Macaca mulatta: one gene and its partners. The protein of the gene in region 4 purifies or fractionates together with the protein of the main gene of each other region. This does not show direct contact. Links are inferred from orthologs where the notes say so. Each region holds a gene or a part of one and is shown on either strand. Other genes may lie near its edges.

Region 1 (4,295 bases), on a different chromosome or scaffold from region 4:
TGGAAGCTTCATCTCAGAGGGGCACCCACCTGTATGAATTGTTAGTTGGCCCCTACAGAGAGGTGTCTCCAGTTAGGCTACTCAGGGGTCAGGGACCCACTTGAGGAGGCAGTCTGTCCGTTCTCAGATCTCAAACTCCGCGCTGGGAGAAGCAGTACTCTCTTCAAAGCTGTCAGATAGGGACGTTTAAGTCTGCAGAAGTTTCTGCTGTCTTTTTTTCAGTTATGCCCCACCCCCAGAGGTGGAGTCTACAGAGGCAGGCAGGCTTCCTTGAGCTGCGGTGGGCTCCACCCAGTTCCAGCTTCCCAGCCACTTTGTTTACCTACTCAAGCCACAGTAATGGCAGATGTCCCTCCCTGAGCCTCGCTGCTGCCTTGCAGTTCGATCTCAGACTGCTGTGCTAGCAGTGAGCAAGGCTCTGTGGGTGTGGGACCCTCCGATCCTGGCACGGGATATAATCTCCTGGTGTGCCGTTTGCTAAGACCGCTGGAAAAATGCAGTATTAGGGTGGGAGTGTACTGATTTTCCAGTTATGGTCTATCACGGTTTCCCTTTGCCAGGAAAGGGAATTCCCGGACCCCTTGTGCTTCCCAGGTGAGGTCATGCCCCGCCCTGCTCTGTGGGCTCCACCCACTGTCTGAGAAGCCCTAGTGAGATGAACTTGGTACCTCAGTTGGAAATGCAGAAATCACCTGTCTTCTGCCTCACTCACACTGGGAGCTGCAGATTGGAGCTGTTCCTATTCGGCCATCTTGTGACCTCCCCCAAACTTTAAATATTACATACATGGTGCTTGTTCAAAATGCTTTTACATGCATTTAATATATGGACAACTCAGGCATAAATTTTTATCAAATTATGATCATGGAATGACAAGTTACAAATGTTAAGACAATGCTCAATCGCTTATACTAAACTTTCAACGAACAATATGTACAGTTTCTGTTAATGCCTTTATTTTCTATTATGTTTCTTCTGATTGCATACGTTGAAATGCAATTTTACATTTACTGAAACTAATAATAAAAAATTTGGGCTTGTATTTTGCACATATTTTCCCCATTTTTCTACTAATTCATTTTTACTGTATTATAGAAGTATCTTTTACTGACAGATTGGAAAAACAACCCATTCTTCCCCACGGATAATCTGGGAAGCTGCTCTAAGACGCTGATCTTGAGGCAGACAATAAAAGCGTAGTAACAGTGAGGGCCCTGGAAAAGCTCCCGGGAAAGTAAAAATACAAAGTTTCAGTAACTAAGATTTCTTTCCTGGTTAAATACACTCAACCTGTATTTGGGCTGAGTGTTGGCCGGGTACAAATGTAGACAAAGGTTCCCAGAGTGCCGCCGCAATCCTCTCCCACAACATGGCCCCGAGCTACTCATTTCGAGATTTGCCTTTAGAGAAGAGCGAAGGAGCGGGGGCGTGGCGAGCAGCGTGAGATAATCGGAAAGCGCCCCTCGGCGCGGGCACAGCCGGCGCGTCATTGTCGTCATCGTTGCCCGACCGCTTTCCGGAGACTGTAGTCGAAGGCCCTGAGGTATTTTTCAAAGTTGTACTTTCAGTTTTTCTCCTCCTCCTGTTTAACTCCGCTTTTCCTCTCCTGGGATTCCCCTGTAATCCTCTGGGCAGACTGAGAGAATCGGAGTTTGGCTGCATAGCCTTCCAGGAATGCAGTGTCTCACAGCTCTTCGCTGGGGCAGCATTGCTGCAGGTCCCCCACTTCCGCTTGTTTTGGGGCTGCTTGCAGGCTTTGGCTTACCCCGGCCCCTCATTTCTCTCTCTTGCTCCGGTCTTTCTCTTTTTCTTCGTTTGTTAACCACCCCCTTCTCAACTCTTGGAAGACGAAAAAATTAAAAACAACAACAACAAAAAAAACATGACTTCACAATTTTCAGCTGTCTTCAAATCTTGCGTAAGGAGAGAGGCTAAAGTGGGACGTCTAGGGGAGTCACTTTACTGTGTTAGCTCCGTTTATCATTCACATTCACAGACTGCCTGCCGCTGCAGTATTAGCCCGTCTGAGATAGTGGGCTAATTTCGACCTTTAGCTGAAATCTGTGGTGGGTAATCCAAGAGAGCAGTTTTTCTTGATGACCCGGGAAAGTTCAGTGTAACTAAAACTTGCTTGAAAATACCTTTAATGTCTTCATGTTTGCTGAATACAATTCAGTTTTGGCTTGATACAGACTTATTTGTCGCAATGAGATGTCTGCTATCCACTTATTAACCCATTGGTACTGTCTGATGGTAGACAGAACCAAGACTTAACCGTGATTTTTAAAAAAATTAAATTTAAAATTTTTGTGGTTACATAGTAGGTGTATATATTTATGGGGTACACGAGATGTTTTGATACAGGCAGGCAATGTGTAATAATCACATGGAAAATGGGGCATCCATCCCTTCAGGCACTTACCCTTTGTGTTACAAACAATCCAATTATACTTTTAGTTATTTAACCCTGTATTTTTGATTCAAAATTAACAGATTAGCCCTGTCGAAGTACAGAGAAGTATTTGCGTTTAGTGGAAATGATAGAACTCATTGTTTTGTTGAAAGATAATGATAAGTGTGAATAATGGTTTTTCAAAATAAAACAAAATTCTCAGTCAAAAGATACTACAGCTGCCTTCAGTTAGCTGTGTTGTATGTATCACAGTTCAGAAGTAATGCAATTTTTTTTCTTAACTGCTTTTACCTTTTCAAATGGCTCTTCATATGTATTATCTCAGCTACTGTTTCCAAACAGTTGACCCTTCAAGCATAGCTCTACATAGTCCACAATGGATTAGAGTATTTGATAACTTTCACTTTTGGTAAAATACTATCTAATGTATTGAGGGCTGAGCCAGGCCCTGTTCTGATGGCTTTTATCTATATTATTTATTTAATCTATGCAGCAACCCCATATACTGTTATTTAAGAAATGAGGTGATTGTAATAAGCCACTTCCATATGTTTTGGAAGGTAATTTTGCTGCTTGATCGCTGTAATTTTGGAAATGCTTTGAATTAAACACTGAATAGAAGTAAATTTAATCTAATGTAGTTATTCATCTCAATCTTGAGCAATATCCTCATAATTTATATACTCCTCTATTATTAGACTTCTGGATACATTTATTTTTAGATGTTAATATCTTTTTTAGAAAAGGAAGAAGTCTGTATGTACTCAGGAATTGTACTGTGAGACTGAAGGAGAGTCACAGACAATACTAACATGGAGTCACTGTTTGCCCAAGACAGCAATATTTATTGAGAACTTGTGTGTACATTTCATTGTTATTTTCTCCTGAGATAATGCAGTGCAAAAAAGCCATTCCAGTAATTCATTACGAGTGATAGAATTCTGGTGCAGCAACAGCAAGTGGCTCTCAAGTTCCAAAACACAATCATGTTGGATTTATTCTCAAGCTTAGTTCATAACTGTGTATAATTATTTGGTGTAGAGATGGGAAGAGCCCCAGAACGTACATGATCATATGTTTGTTTGGATCCATGTGGTGACTTTCTATTATCTGTAAGCTCAAACTGTAATCTGATATTAAGAGTTTCCAAAATTAGGTCTTAGGTTACTTTGGTTGGTTTTAGTTAGTTAACAAATAGTTGCTAAATACCTAATACATGACAAGACATTATGTTAGTGATGTGTTCAAAATGTACCTCGACATGAATCTTACCTTGAGGAATAGCCCAGTGAGTAAATAACCAATGGAAAGGTAAGAGCAGAGGAGTGACATGATCTGACTTAGGTTTATTTTATTTTACTTTATGTTTTATTTTGTTTTACTTTACTTTATTGTCTGTTCTTTTGTTTTCTTTTGTTTCCTTTCCTGCCCTGCCCTGCCCCGCCCCGCCCCACCCCACCTCACCCCCCCCACTTCTTTTCTTTCGGAGTCTGGCTCTGTTGCCCAGGCTGGAGTGCAGTGGTGCAATCTCAGCTCACTGCAACCTCCGCCTCCTGGGTTCCAACGATTCTCCTGCCTCAGCCTCCTAAGTAGCTGGGATTACAGGCACGTGTCACCACGCCCGGCTAATTTTTTTTGTATTTTTAGTAGAAATGGGGTTTCACCATGTTGGCCAGGCTGGTCTTAAACTTCTGACCTCAGGTGATCTGCCTGTCTTGGCCTCCCAAAGTGCTGGGATTACAGGCGTCAGCCACTGCGCCTGGCCTGACTTAGGTTTTAATAGAATCTTCTGTGGCTTCTGTGTTAAGAATAGTTTGTTGTGGGGTGGGGTAGGTGAAAACCATGAGACTAATCATGGAGGTGTTGTAGTTCAGATGAGATG
Region 2 (4,282 bases), on a different chromosome or scaffold from region 4:
ACCAAGCAGACTATAAAGTCCCTAAATGCAGGACCTGTATTTTACTCATCTGTGAATAGCACGGTAATTACTTACAAGCCTGCTTTGAATTCAGTCAGATTCTGGCTTGAATATTGATCCCACCACTTAATAACTGGGTAACCTTGGCCACTTAACTTCCCTAACCCTGCTTTATAGTTTATAAGATAGGAATGATAATTCCCCATTCCTTTGACTTGTGGAAATTAAATGGGACACGTATACAAAGCTGCTAGTGCAGCTCAAAAGTCTTAGTTGAGTGCTTGGAAGAACAGTGGATTCTATCCAAACAAGGGTATGTGATCTCAGAAGAGACCGTGTGTATCTCTTTATCAAGACGTACAGGCTGGGCGTAGTGGCTCACGCCTGTAATCCCAGCACTTTGGGAGGCTGAGGTAGGAGGATCACTTGAGCCCAGGAGTTTGAGACCAGCCTGGGTAACATAGTGAGACACTCCCATTTCTACCAAAAAAAAAAAAAAAAAGAAGAAAAGAAAAGAAAAAAAAAAGCTAGGCGTGGTGAAGATCGCTTGTGCCCAGGAGTTCGGGGACTGCAGTGAGCCGAGCCGTGATCATATATTACACTCCAGCCTGAGTGACAGAGCAAGACCCTGTCCAAAAAAAAAAAAAAAAAAAAAGCTATTAATACAAACATGTATACGTTTGTGATTGTGTCACAGTGGCAGTTTAAAGGAGAAATCCTTTGCCAGAGGTTGCAAAAGCTATAAAAGTTAGAGTGGAACAGTGCTTCAAGGGAAGAGATTGGTTTTCATTTTATCTGCATTGTTTGAATATATAAGTACATGATAACTTCAATAGGGATACCAAAACAAATAAATAAATTTTAAAAAGAACATGAAAGGCCAGGCGCAGCAGCTCACACCTATAATCCCAACACTTTGGGAGGCCGAAGCAGGTGGATCGCTTGAGACCAGCCTGGCCAACAGAGCAAGACCCGCCCCCCTCACCCCCCTATAGAGATAGACAAAAAAAGAAAAAAACTTTTTAAAAAGTACATGTAATTTAAAATGAATACAACTTTTTAGAAATGTTGGGCTGGCAGGGTTGCCGGCTTATTTGGTGAGTCTTTCACCTCGTTTGGAGATAGCGAGAGCAACGAAGAGAAAACATTAATTACCAGGTATTGGTATTAATACGGCGGCTCCATTCCCACATGGACCTGGGGGGACAAAAACTCCTAATCTTGGACAGCTGCGCCCAGCCCTTCTTCACCTGCGGTCCAGGTATCATCCTAGTCTTCCCTCCGTCTCTGGGGTGGGTCGTTTCCAACCCTCCGCCCTGGTCCAGGCCACTGAGGGAAGGGAACAAAACTAAGGCCGGGAGGGCCGGGCCCCAGCCTGGAGTGTGTGGCTCCGGGCCTCCCCCGGGTGCGGCAGTTACGGCGGTTCCGGAGCCGCGGCGCCCAGGGCCGAGGGGCGGGCCCGAAGCCGCGGCCTCGCCTCCGCCGCGCCGGCCGCTCCCGCCGCTCCGCGGCCTCCCGGAGACACGCCGCCATGCTGCAGAAGCGGGAGAAGGTGCTGCTGCTGAGGACCTTCCAGGGCCGCACGCTGCGGATCGTGCGCGAGCACTACCTGCGGCCCTGCGTGCCCTGCCACAGCCCGCTCTGCCCGCAGCCAGCCACCTGCAGCCACGGTCAGGGCCGGGGCGGGGACGGGGCCGGCGGGAGCGGGCGGGACTGGGCGGCTGCGGTGACGGGGTGAGCGCGGCCCAGAGGCGGAGCGCCAGCGGCGGGGACACCGAGGCGTAGGCCCCGCGGCCTGCGCCCGCCCGCCGGCCTCACACCCAGCCCTCTGCCGGTCGGGACCCAGCGGCCCAAGTCCGCGGCTTCCGGGGTGCCCCGCCCGGGACTCCCCGACTGCTCCGCTCTGTCCAGTGGGAGAGCCCGAGAGACCCGCACCCCATCCCGGAGACCGGGTGGCTTGGCTCCTCAGAGGGGCCCAAGGGCGCGGAAGCCGAGCGTTCCTCCCGCCGCAACCTCGCGCGGCGGAGAAATGGGGAGGTCCCGAGCCGGGAGCCCCCGGGAGCTGCGGGCCAGCTGCTGCCGCTGCGAAGCTGACATCATCTGCTTTGCAGCCACAGGTTTCCTGACCTACCCGCACTGGTGCCCCAGACTTTCCCGCCCGTGGAGAGCCTCTTCACCGTAGTTTTGTGAACTATCTGGGCCCGCACTGGAGAGGAAAGTCACGGGGAGGTTGGACTGGGGACTCCTGGGCCCCTGTCCTTGGTTTCTAGGCTGCAAGGGTGGCCGATAGAACGATGCGCGCGTTACTGGCTCTCTTCCCCCATGGGAGGATGAGCATGGGATGGGGGTCCTTGTCAGCGAATGTTTGGAATCCTCCAGACATTGTGATTAAGATGAACATTTCAGTTAGAGCTTGGCTAACCGGCTCTCAGATACGGGCCTGGTGGAAACCCCACCTCTGCCCGTTGCTTGCACGGATCATTTTCTCCATTCAATCTTTCTGGCTCTTGGAGGCTGCTGAGCACGTGCAGAAGCTTGACACAGAGCCAACTTGAAATTGCTGGGCATCATACACAAGTGGTATAAATGTGGGGGTGCTTCATTTGAATGTGTTTGTCAATGATGAGGTAACACTGAAATATTCAGGTTATGCTGAAAATGTGCTTGTTCGTTGTTAAATCAGTCATCCTCTCCGGCACCTCTGGCAACACCATAAACCACGTTGAGCTTGTATTTATTACAGCTTCAAAAAAAATTAGGGTGCTCAATATACCTGAACTTTGGGTCTTTTAAAAACTCCCACCGTGGAGTTAAGACTGGAAGTTATTTTGTATGCCAGAGCACCGTGACATTTAAATAAACCAGGTTTGAAAACATTGTCTAATCTCTTACATTTTGAATTATGTTCCAGATGGGAAACTCTTGTCTAGTGATGTGACTCATTACGTGATCCCAGACTGGAAAGTTGTTCAAGATTATCTTGAGATCCTTGAGTTTCCTGAATTGAAAGGAATTATTTTCATGCAAACAGCTTGTCAAGCAGTGCAGCATCAAAGAGGCCGGAGGTATACGTTTTGCATTCTTTATTTCTATATGGCATAGGTTCCCCCCCACCTTAGAAAAGCTCCCTTGTTGGAGGAGGATGGGAGGAATTCATTATTTTGTCAGAAAGGACTTTTTAAACTAATTTTGTATTCTCTTTGATAGTGAGGAATGCAGTAACATTATTTTATATTTCTGCTGCAACACCTGGCCAAGAGATCTGACTGTAGATCAATAAACTGCAGTGTCCCCAGTATGTGGGTATTTAAGATTCTAGTGTGAATTGGCTTTTGGCTTGCATTTTTATAGTGGTAGGGTTACTGCTTATTTCTTGTTGATAATGTGTATTATTTAATCTTATTTATAGATACATTGTTTCAGAAGCATACATTCTTTTCTTGGGGAAAAGAGTACTTTATTTTTAAATTTTAGACTCCTTTATTGGAGATGCAAATTGTAATGATTTATTCAGTAAAACCAGAAATAGCTTGTTTTATTTTTAGATTACTAGTGTAACTACCAGCCATAGTCATTGTATTTGCTAAACAAAGCATTTCCAATTGAACCAGTCTAAAATTCTTGCCTTGTACTTAAATGAAGAATAGTTGTCTACTTTTTAAACAAATACCTTAAAAAACGATTTCGCTTCCTTTAATGTTGAGAAAGGTTTATGACTTGAACTTAAGACTGTATGGAAATAGCATATTAGAATTATATGTCCAACCTCTTAACACTCTAAGTTATTTAATAAGCACAAACTATGCATTTATTCTTTTTTAAAATGTTGTGGTTTCTTCAGGCCTTGGTAATAAAAGATGAAGTGTTTTTATTTGTATATGAAAATGACAAATTGTCCTCTTATTATACACTCAGTTCAAAAAATGTACATTAACCAGATTGTGTGCAGGTTTTTTTCAGACAGAATATTTTTAAATGAGCTTCAAGTTGATTTTGTTCAGACACCAAGATATAGATGTTTATACAGATCCAAATTTAAATGCTGCTCCAGGTGTCATATTTCAATTTCTGCTACTAAAATCAATTTGTTGTTATCATTCGGATTGCTAACACACTGCGAGCCTTTTCAACTTCTGTTTTCTAAAATATTTTTAATGTTAAGGATTGTTTTAGAAACCAATTTCTGGGACATTCAAAGACAAAGAGTTGGAATTTAAACGTCTTTTCTCCTGAACATTTCAAGAGTAGTTAACTTGATGAAAAACTATTGGTTTTCCACTGC
Region 3 (4,193 bases), on a different chromosome or scaffold from region 4:
TTTCCCAAGGGGAAAGTCGACTGAGGGGACAGGGAGGGACAGGCGGCAAAGCCATCAGAAGTCAGGTGAACTGAGATCAAAGTCGTGGGCAATGTCATCTGGACAAGGACGCTGCTCTCGGGATGTTTGCAATCTCAAGTAGGAGATACCAGACATCAATAAAGAGTAGCATTTTATTCACGTGCAGACCTCCCTTCTGGGGTAACACGCTGAGAAGAAAAAGTAGCAACTTTATTTTGGGGCTGCTTATCTTTTGATGACGGGCCCACACAACCAGAGTTCGGCTTTTTCAACCTGAGAAAGCTTACTTAAGTGGGGATGGGAGGCCGCGAAGAGGATCGGACCGCAGGACTGGAAGCTACAGTTAAAAAACCGGGAAAAGGCCGGGCGCGGTGGCTCACTTTGGGAGGAATCACCTGTAATTCCTGCACTTTGGGAGGCTGAGGCGGGCGGCTCAAGAGATCGAGACCATCCTGGCCAACATAGTGAAACCCCGTCTCTACTGAAAATACAAAAATTAGCTGGGCGTGATGGCGCGCGCCTGTAGTCCCAGCTGCGCGGGAGGCTGAGGCAGGAGAATCGCTTGATGCCAGGAGGCGGAGGTTGCAGTGCGCAGAGATCGCGCCACTGCACTCCAGCCTGGCCAAAGAGCGAGACTCCTTTTCAAAAACAAAACAAAACAAAAACCGGGAAAAGGTTTTATTTCTCAATGACAGCCGCGAGGTGAAACTGCGATGGACTGGAAGTCAAAAATCGCGGGTTCCAGTTTGGGCTCTATCTTGAAGATTTTGGACAAGTCAAACCCGGTCTCTGAATCTGAGGTTCCACATCTGTGAAACAGACGAGTTGGGTCGCTTGACCTCCTTCCTTCCTGCTCTGAACGTAACGGTTGCTCGCAAGGTGCGCTCCGGCTGAGGAGGGCGCAGCCCCGCAGGGCAGGGCGAGGAGAGAGCAGGAACCTGGACTCAAGACAAGGCCCCAGGGCATTGCCCGACCCAGAAAAAGGGACTAGGATGGGGAGCAAGGGCCGAGGCTTCGCCCTTACCTGCCGCCTGCCGACTCCCCAGTCAGCCAAACCGAGCCCCGCAGCCTCTGCCGCCGCTCACTGCCACCCTCTCCGACTCGGCGCCCCGGCCGGGCCCGGCTCAATCCAAACCACCATGGCCCGCCGCCTGCAGTGCCACCCAGCGGACCCGGACCTGCCGCCAGCCCATCCTCAACCACACGCGCAGGCGCAAGCATGGAGCGCTGAAGTTCCGCCCCCGGATTTGTCCCGGGGTAACCTGGGAAATGGAGTTTACACGCAAGGATAAAGAACACCAATTGACGCGTATCTTACTGCGGAACTGTGCCTGGGTTTGGCCAATGAGAAATCGATTTCGTTTTCATCCGGCTTTTGGGACAGCGGCAATCATGGCACCACCTGTGAGATACTGTATTCCCGGTAAGTGAGCGCTTCCCGTACAGAGTCCTGGATAGGGGCCGAAGCAAGAAGCCTGGACGGCCTGCAGTTTCTGGGGGCCCATGACCGATGCAGCATTTTTTCTGCAGGCGAACGTCTGTGTAACTTGGAGGAGGGCAGCCCGGGCAGCGGCACCTACACCCGCCACGGCTACATCTTTTCGTCGCTTGCCGGCTGCCTGATGAAGAGCAGCGAGAACGGCGCGGTAAAGGAAGCGGCATGCCGTCTCCTCTCTCTCTGTTTTTCCCTTAGGCTGCCCTTGAGTTCCAGTCCTTAGGCATGGGCACTGCGGACGCGTGTTTAGAGCCTTAGTGGTACAATGTTGGTCTCTTAGTTTCTTCTAGCCGTATCGCCGCTGTTGTGCACTTAGCCACCACACACTAGTTGTGTTGATCTCGCTTGGTTGTGCTGCTGACCCTCGGGGAGGGAGGTTGGGACAAAAGCAGATGCGAACTCAGTAACCTAGCCCAGCTCAGCCCAGCAGTGCGTTGTATACTGTATGAATGTTGCTTACCTCTCCGGCTTACCTCTAGTGCCACTATCTCCACCTCACTGACGCGATCTAATCATACAGTCTTTTCTATTTGTAAAAGTTATAATCACAGTTTTGGCTTGCCCTTTTAAAAAAATTTGTAACACACTAGCTTCTTTCAGTGTCGGTAATGTGCCAAGCTTTCTCCTGCTACAGAGCCTTTGTAACATGCCATCTATCTGGAACGCTTCTGTCTTCTTAGGCCTGTTTAATTCCTACCTCCGTTAGTTTCTGTATTATCACCTCAGAGAAGCCCTTCTGGACCCACTAATTGAGGAAAGGAGTTTTGTGGGATGTTTTGTTTTTGTTTGTTTTGTTAAAGACTTACAAAAAAACTCTGTCCCTTTTCTTCCAAGCACTTATGTCAGCATATGATTAGACACTCAGGTATGTTTCCCACTAGACTTCTCCCTTGCTTAAATCTAAGTTCCACGAAGTGCAGGTGCTACCACCATACCATCAGTATCTAGCACAAAGCAGCTCCTCAATAAATGTTTGTTGAATGCGTAATACCTACTTTTCTAGTTTTAGAGATTGATCCAGGATTAGCTCAGGATCATATAAGCAATATTTGAAGGAGCACAGTAGAAAGAGGATTCAGAATTAGAACCGTTAGGTTCTGGCTAACTTGACCTCGATTCTGCTTTGAGTAAGTAACTTAAGCCGTCTGACTCAAGGGGCTTTCTATTCAGTCATTGTTGGGAATGTCCTTAACAGTCCTGAGTTTGTTCATTTGATAGATACCACTTGAGTATTTTCATGTGTCAGGCACAGCGCTGACTTGGTTTCTGCTATCAAAGGACACAGACACAAATTGTAAACAAATAAATGCTCAAATAAGCATATGGTTACACATGTGGTGGCTGCTTTGAAAGAATATTACAGGGCACCTTAAGAACATGTAACAGGCAAATCCATCCTAGTCAGCAGAAGTGACATTGAAGCTGAATCATCTAAAGAGTAGGTTAGAGTCAGGTGGGTGGAGAGAGTGCAATTCTGGCAAAAAGAATAGGTTGAAGAGAGATCTGAAAGTGGGAAGAATTTAGTAAGTTGGGGAAACTGAAAGAAGGCCAGGAGAGCTGAAGCATTGTAAGCAACGGAGAGATTGTTAAAAGATGAGGCTCAAAATATCTGTCTCATACCAACAGCCAATACCATGCTCAAAGAGAAAACTCTGCAAGTATTCACTTAAAACAAGCGTAGCTACTATTTGTAACATTTCTGTGGAAATTTCAGCCTGTGCAGTAAAATAAGAAACAGAAAGAAGCAGTATAACTTTGGAGGAAAGAGTAAAATTGTCAGCCAGATGTAGTGGCTCACGCCTGTAATCCCAGCACTTTGGGAAGCCAAGGTGGGTTGATCACCTGAGGTCAGGTGTTCGAGACCAGTCTGACCAACATGGTGAAACCCCATCTCTACTAAAAATACAAAAAATTACCCGAGCATGGTGGCAGGCGTCTGTAATCCCAACTACTCGGGAGGCTGAGGCAGGAGAATCACTTGAACCCAGGAGGTGGAGGTTGCAGTGAACCGAGATGGCGCCATTGCACTCCACTCTGGGCAACAAGAGTGAAACTCCATCTCAAAAAAAAACCAAAAAAAGTAAAATTGTCAATGATTATAGGCAATATAGTTGTATACCAAGAAATTCTGAGAGAATCACCAGAAAACTTATTGGAAGTTTAGGGATTTACTACAAAAAAAATTAGCCGGGCGTGGTGGCAGGTGCCTGTAGTCTCAGCTACTTGGGAGGCTGAGGCTGGAGAATGGCATGAACCCGGGAGGTGGAGCTTGCAGTGAGCCGAGAATATGCCACTGCACTCCAGCCTGGGCAACAGAGCAAGACTCCATCTCCAACGACAACAAAAAAAAAGAAGTTTAGAGGTTTACATCTTCTAGCAGCATTCTGTAGCCCCCTGGTCCTCCTATTTCCTAAAATTTCTAAGGCCTTCTGCTCTGGCCTATAAATGAATGCATACTCCAGCTCTCACCTGTGTACCAAGACATTCCTATATTACTCTCAAGACACAAATGCTTTGACCCAAGAGTTAGCCAGGACATTTCAGTTTTTTTCTTTTTCCCTCTGTAGCTTCCTGTGGTGTCTGTAGTAAGAGAAACAGAGTCCCAGTTACTGCCAGATGTCGGAGCTATTGTAACCTGTAAGGTAAGTTTGTCCTAACTTCCATGCTTAGAACGCCC
Region 4 (4,214 bases):
GAGCTCTGACTGATAACACTGTTAAAGCTGCCCAAGCCTCTGATTTCCCACTACTTATCCTGGATTTGTAATAAGAATTTGGTGGGGGCCAAAATCTCAGAAGTCACCACTAAAGAACTTACCCGTGTAATCAAAAAACCACCTGTTCCCCAAAAACTATTGAAATTTTTTGAAAAAAATCTGTGTATAAGTGTACCACACAGCTCAGACCTGTGTTCAAGAATCAACGTAAATGCAAGTATAAAAAAGACTGGAAGGAAATACTCAAATATACTAACAGTCCTTTTTAACCTCTTGGTAAGGAATTTCCAGGCAGTTTATAAACTCATACTTTATTCTGCTTTCCAAATTATGTTCCTTAAAATGTGCTGCTTTGATAATTAGAAAATGGAATTTTTGAAATCCCTGAGAAGAAAATACAAAGTATGCCAGAAACTTTAGTAAAATGATTTGGAGTAGTGTGTCACTGTATACTGTATGTGTATTTTTACATACATATTATTTCCTTTCTGAAAAAGAATTGAAAAAAATTTTTGGTGAGGGGATGTAAACACAAAAGAAACTTTGCTTCAACTTTGGCAAATTCAAGTTTATTGTAGATACTTTAGATCTTTATATTATGTAGGTATTTATGCAAATTAAATGTGGTGTTTAAGAGAGGTTGTGCCTCCAGCCTGCTGCCCTTGTCTCCTAATGCCTTTGCTGACCAAATTAATCAGATTTTATTTTTAACCCTAAGTTAGAAATCTTACTGTATTTTTACTTCATTCTACTGAGAACCATAGGTTGATTTTTTTCATTCACAGTTTTGGCTTTTGTTTGTTGTGCTTTATATACGGAGAAATGCTATTTCTATGTTCCCATTTAGGAGTTTCATAATAGAAGAGCAGAGTTTCTTACTATGTGAAGATCTTCTCTATGGAAGAATGTCATTCAGAGGATTTAATCCTGAGGTTGAGGTATTAAATATAATTGCTTCAAATTTAAAATTTTTCCAATTGATTTTTTTTCTGCTAATAATTGGGCTTAGATATTTCTCTACCAAGTACCATTTCTACTCATTATATAGAAAATAACAAGTCTTGAAATATCACCATAGCTATTTAAAGAATTGCAGGCATTGTAGTCTAGTTTTGTGGTAGAGGTGAGTAGATAATTTCATATAGGGGTATACAGCCCTTGACAGTGCCACTGTAAATATTAGAATTTCAAGTTGAGTCGTTTACAGGAACGTCAAGATTTTATTCATATGATGCTATTATGAAAAGTTATTTTCTGGCACCTATAAATGTATTTTTTCTAATGGAAAAATGTTACTTTAGAATTGTATAATTTGACTTTTTAATGGACAGTTTTAATCCAAGCTTGTAAGTAGATTTTTAAATGAATCCTTTGGACAGTTTGTTTGAAAAACGAATATTTGCCTTATAACTGAGCTATTCATTTGAATTTCTGCTCCAGGATAGAGAAGCAGACCTTTATTTAACAAATATTCATTAGAACTCTGGCTCATATGTTAAAAGCCATCCTGTCAGGTACTTGATGAACCAAATGGACACTTGAGATATAAATCTTTAGTTTTGTAAATATTACACGAAGTCAGGGTTTCTCGCCCTTGGCAGTGTTGACATTTGGGGCCAGATAATTCTTTGTGGTGGTGGCTTTCTTAAGAGGATGATGAACCACATCCCTGTCCTCTGTTCTCTACCAACTAAATATCAGCACACACACACCCCACCCTCCAACCCAGTTGTGACAACCAAAAATGTTTCCAGGCATTGCCACAGGTTCCCTGGTGGGAAGAATCGTCCCCAGTTAAGAACCACTTCTGCAGGAGCCACAGTTAACTAAGCCAGTTGCCACAGTTTATTGAAAGACTCTAGATTAGTTTTCCTTTTCTGCTTTTTTGGCAGAGTGGAAGGAGGCATGTGTGATAATTAAGGTGTTATATTAGAAGTGTTTGTTTTTCATATCTACTGGTCTCACTTTGACCTGCTTTAATTAAGCTTCAGATTGAGAAGGAGAGGGGCTGCAGAGTGGGGTAAAAAGGGAAGAAAAAGGCAGGGATTATGAAGATGTGGTGTTCAAAGAGCACGGTTTGGATAGGCGAGCATTCCACAGTACGTCTGCTGCGCTGGGACAGGAGAGGTGCCACTGCCCGCAGAAATTGATGGGGGGCAGGGATGGGTGTTAGCAAATGGCCGTAATTACTGGATTCTGTAACACCGAATACACTCCCCCTAGGAAAAGGTTTTGAACTATTGTCACTCTTTTAAGCCTTAGAAAAACTAGTTGAGACTGATTTCTCATCTTGTATTCCTTCTCCTCTTGCTATAAAGAAGAGATTACACATTTAAAAAAAAAAAAAAAAAGGAAAGGTCAGAGGATAATTATCACAAAGGTTTATGTGAAAGAGTTGAAGGAGAGACCTGTGGTGCATGGATATTACATGGGATGCATTATCCACCCTAAAGTTTAGGAGGGTGGGGCTGAGGTGCAGATTCCCTCCATCATACAGGGCCAGCCTTCCACTTCTGCTGCCGCCTCCACGCACCACCACCACCACCACCAAGAGATGCATTTAAAATTATTGACTACTAGTGCTTCTTCCATTTGGCTTAAAGATGGAGTGGGGGAAGTTCAGAGAAAATCTGAAAGTTTATTATTTCTTCCCCCACTCACTGGAATGTGTCAGCAGTATGCCTGCTTTAAATATCAGTAACTAGTACTAAGATTTATGATCTTAAATACACTTTTAATTCACACTAAATATAATCCAGTGGGGCTTTGCCTATTTTTTTGACTCAGAGCTGACTTCTGTTAGACCATTGTGATATCAAGTATTACAGAGAGTCCCTTATCAATTTTAACTAGTTCTCTAGATTATTTGACTTCGGTTTCTCTGCCTTCAAAGAAGTTTGACATCAGTTCCTTTCACAAGCGTTTTCTAGCCTGAAGGTCAGCACTGGTGTATTTTTCAGAAATTGATGCTTCAGATGAATGCTAAGCACAAAGCAGAAGAAGTCGAAGATGAAACAGTGGAGCTTGATGTGTCAGATGAAGAGATGGCTAGAAGGTAACCGTCCTGCGCAGCAGCTTTCTAATCTGGACCAAGCATTCATTGGCTCTCCCAGGAATGCTTCTCTTACCCCACAGTCCACGGCAGCTTTCAAGGGAGTCCCCCTAGTAGGAAGATGACTGTGATCAGCCTTCTCTTAATGGCCTGCAGGGGCCGCAGACCTGTCTCAGGCTGCCAGTTGAGAGCCCATTTCCAGAGCTGCTGGAAATGTGTATTTTTAAATGTACATCTCAATTTATTTAGGGTAATGCAAACACCAAAATGGCAAGGAATTTAATCACTCTTGGAGAAGTTCATAAATTGTTAAATCAGATGGTTTCTTTTAATCATAGTTTTCTTTTTCTTAATCTTTTTTATTGCATATTTGGTCTGATATTCTTGACAAGGTTTGATTCCTACCTTTTTATTTGAAATTAAACGTGCTGTCTATCCTCTTGACAGATATGAGACCTTGGTGGGGACAATTGGGAAAAAGTTTGCCAGAAAGAGAGACCATGCCAATTACGAAGAAGATGAAAATGGAGACATAAAACCGATTAAAGCAAAGAAGATGTTCTTAAAGCCCCAGGATTAAGATGGATGCCTTAAGCAATGGACCATGGGTGCTTGATGGAAGTCAGCAGCGCATCTGGAGCTCATCCCGATAGCGTCTCTATAGTTATTAATACTGTAACGTTTACTTTGTAAAGAGATGTATCATTTTGGAACCATGCTGTTTAAAAAAACAGATGTGTGATGGATGTTGTACATCCTTTGCTTCATGGTATTCATTCATAAATTTTTAGCCCCTGATCTACAAATGTATATGTTTTTACAGGGCTGCTTCCTAAAGTTTTTTTGACCTCGGGTTTATCGTAATATAGTTCTCCAGTCACTGACCTTGAATTGACTCATATAAATTACTGCCAATGTTTAAATTGCCCTTATGTTTATATTTAAATTATTATGTCAAGCCAATTCATACATACAGTTTGGAATCAAATATTCTAAGAATTTATTAAATAAATTTATCAAGAATAAATATGCCTCTCCAGGCTTAAGTGTTTACGTGCTCCCAGGTCATTGTCAGTTTATGGTATTGTGTTATTTAAAGCATTGAATTAATAGAAAAAAATTGCTCTGTAATAAAAACCTG

Evidence for each region. Proteins that work in one complex are often made in the same cells at the same time.
Region 1: the proteins of MPHOSPH6 (region 4) and C1D purify together in Homo sapiens (co-immunoprecipitation; 3 studies listed by BioGRID and IntAct, counting the BioPlex papers as one, with this or other methods). This does not show direct contact. The link is inferred for Macaca mulatta from reciprocal best matches to the Homo sapiens genes MPHOSPH6 and C1D.
Region 2: the proteins of MPHOSPH6 (region 4) and DIS3L purify together in Homo sapiens (affinity purification with mass spectrometry; 3 studies listed by BioGRID and IntAct, with this or other methods). This does not show direct contact. The link is inferred for Macaca mulatta from reciprocal best matches to the Homo sapiens genes MPHOSPH6 and DIS3L.
Region 3: the proteins of MPHOSPH6 (region 4) and EXOSC1 purify together in Homo sapiens (affinity purification with mass spectrometry; 5 studies listed by BioGRID and IntAct, counting the BioPlex papers as one, with this or other methods). This does not show direct contact. The link is inferred for Macaca mulatta from reciprocal best matches to the Homo sapiens genes MPHOSPH6 and EXOSC1.

The regions. Positions count from the first base shown.
Region 1 is NC_133418.1:56,665,848-56,670,142, forward strand, and holds the start of C1D (nuclear nucleic acid-binding protein C1D), read left to right. Parts: upstream 1-1,491; 5' UTR 1,492-1,543; intron 1,544-4,295. UniProt on the Homo sapiens protein: Plays a role in the recruitment of the RNA exosome complex to pre-rRNA to mediate the 3'-5' end processing of the 5.8S rRNA; this function may include MPHOSPH6.
Region 2 is NC_133412.1:43,767,815-43,772,096, forward strand, and holds the start of DIS3L (DIS3-like exonuclease 1), read left to right. Parts: upstream 1-1,478; 5' UTR 1,479-1,531; coding exon 1,532-1,670; intron 1,671-1,753; exon of another isoform or gene 1,754-2,029; coding exon of another isoform or gene 2,030-2,117; intron 2,118-2,911; coding exon 2,912-3,065; intron 3,066-4,282. UniProt on the Homo sapiens protein: Catalytic component of the RNA exosome complex which has 3'->5' exoribonuclease activity and participates in a multitude of cellular RNA processing and degradation events.
Region 3 is NC_133414.1:109,495,407-109,499,599, reverse strand, and holds the start of EXOSC1 (exosome complex component CSL4), read left to right. Parts: upstream 1-1,389; 5' UTR 1,390-1,413; coding exon 1,414-1,444; intron 1,445-1,551; coding exon 1,552-1,667; intron 1,668-4,083; coding exon 4,084-4,158; intron 4,159-4,193. UniProt on the Homo sapiens protein: Non-catalytic component of the RNA exosome complex which has 3'->5' exoribonuclease activity and participates in a multitude of cellular RNA processing and degradation events.
Region 4 is NC_133425.1:77,514,614-77,518,827, reverse strand, and holds the end of MPHOSPH6 (M-phase phosphoprotein 6), read left to right. Parts: intron 1-868; coding exon 869-959; intron 960-2,981; coding exon 2,982-3,076; intron 3,077-3,520; coding exon 3,521-3,653; 3' UTR 3,654-3,710; downstream 3,711-4,214. UniProt on the Homo sapiens protein: RNA-binding protein that associates with the RNA exosome complex. Involved in the 3'-processing of the 7S pre-RNA to the mature 5.8S rRNA and play a role in recruiting the RNA exosome complex to pre-rRNA; this function may include C1D.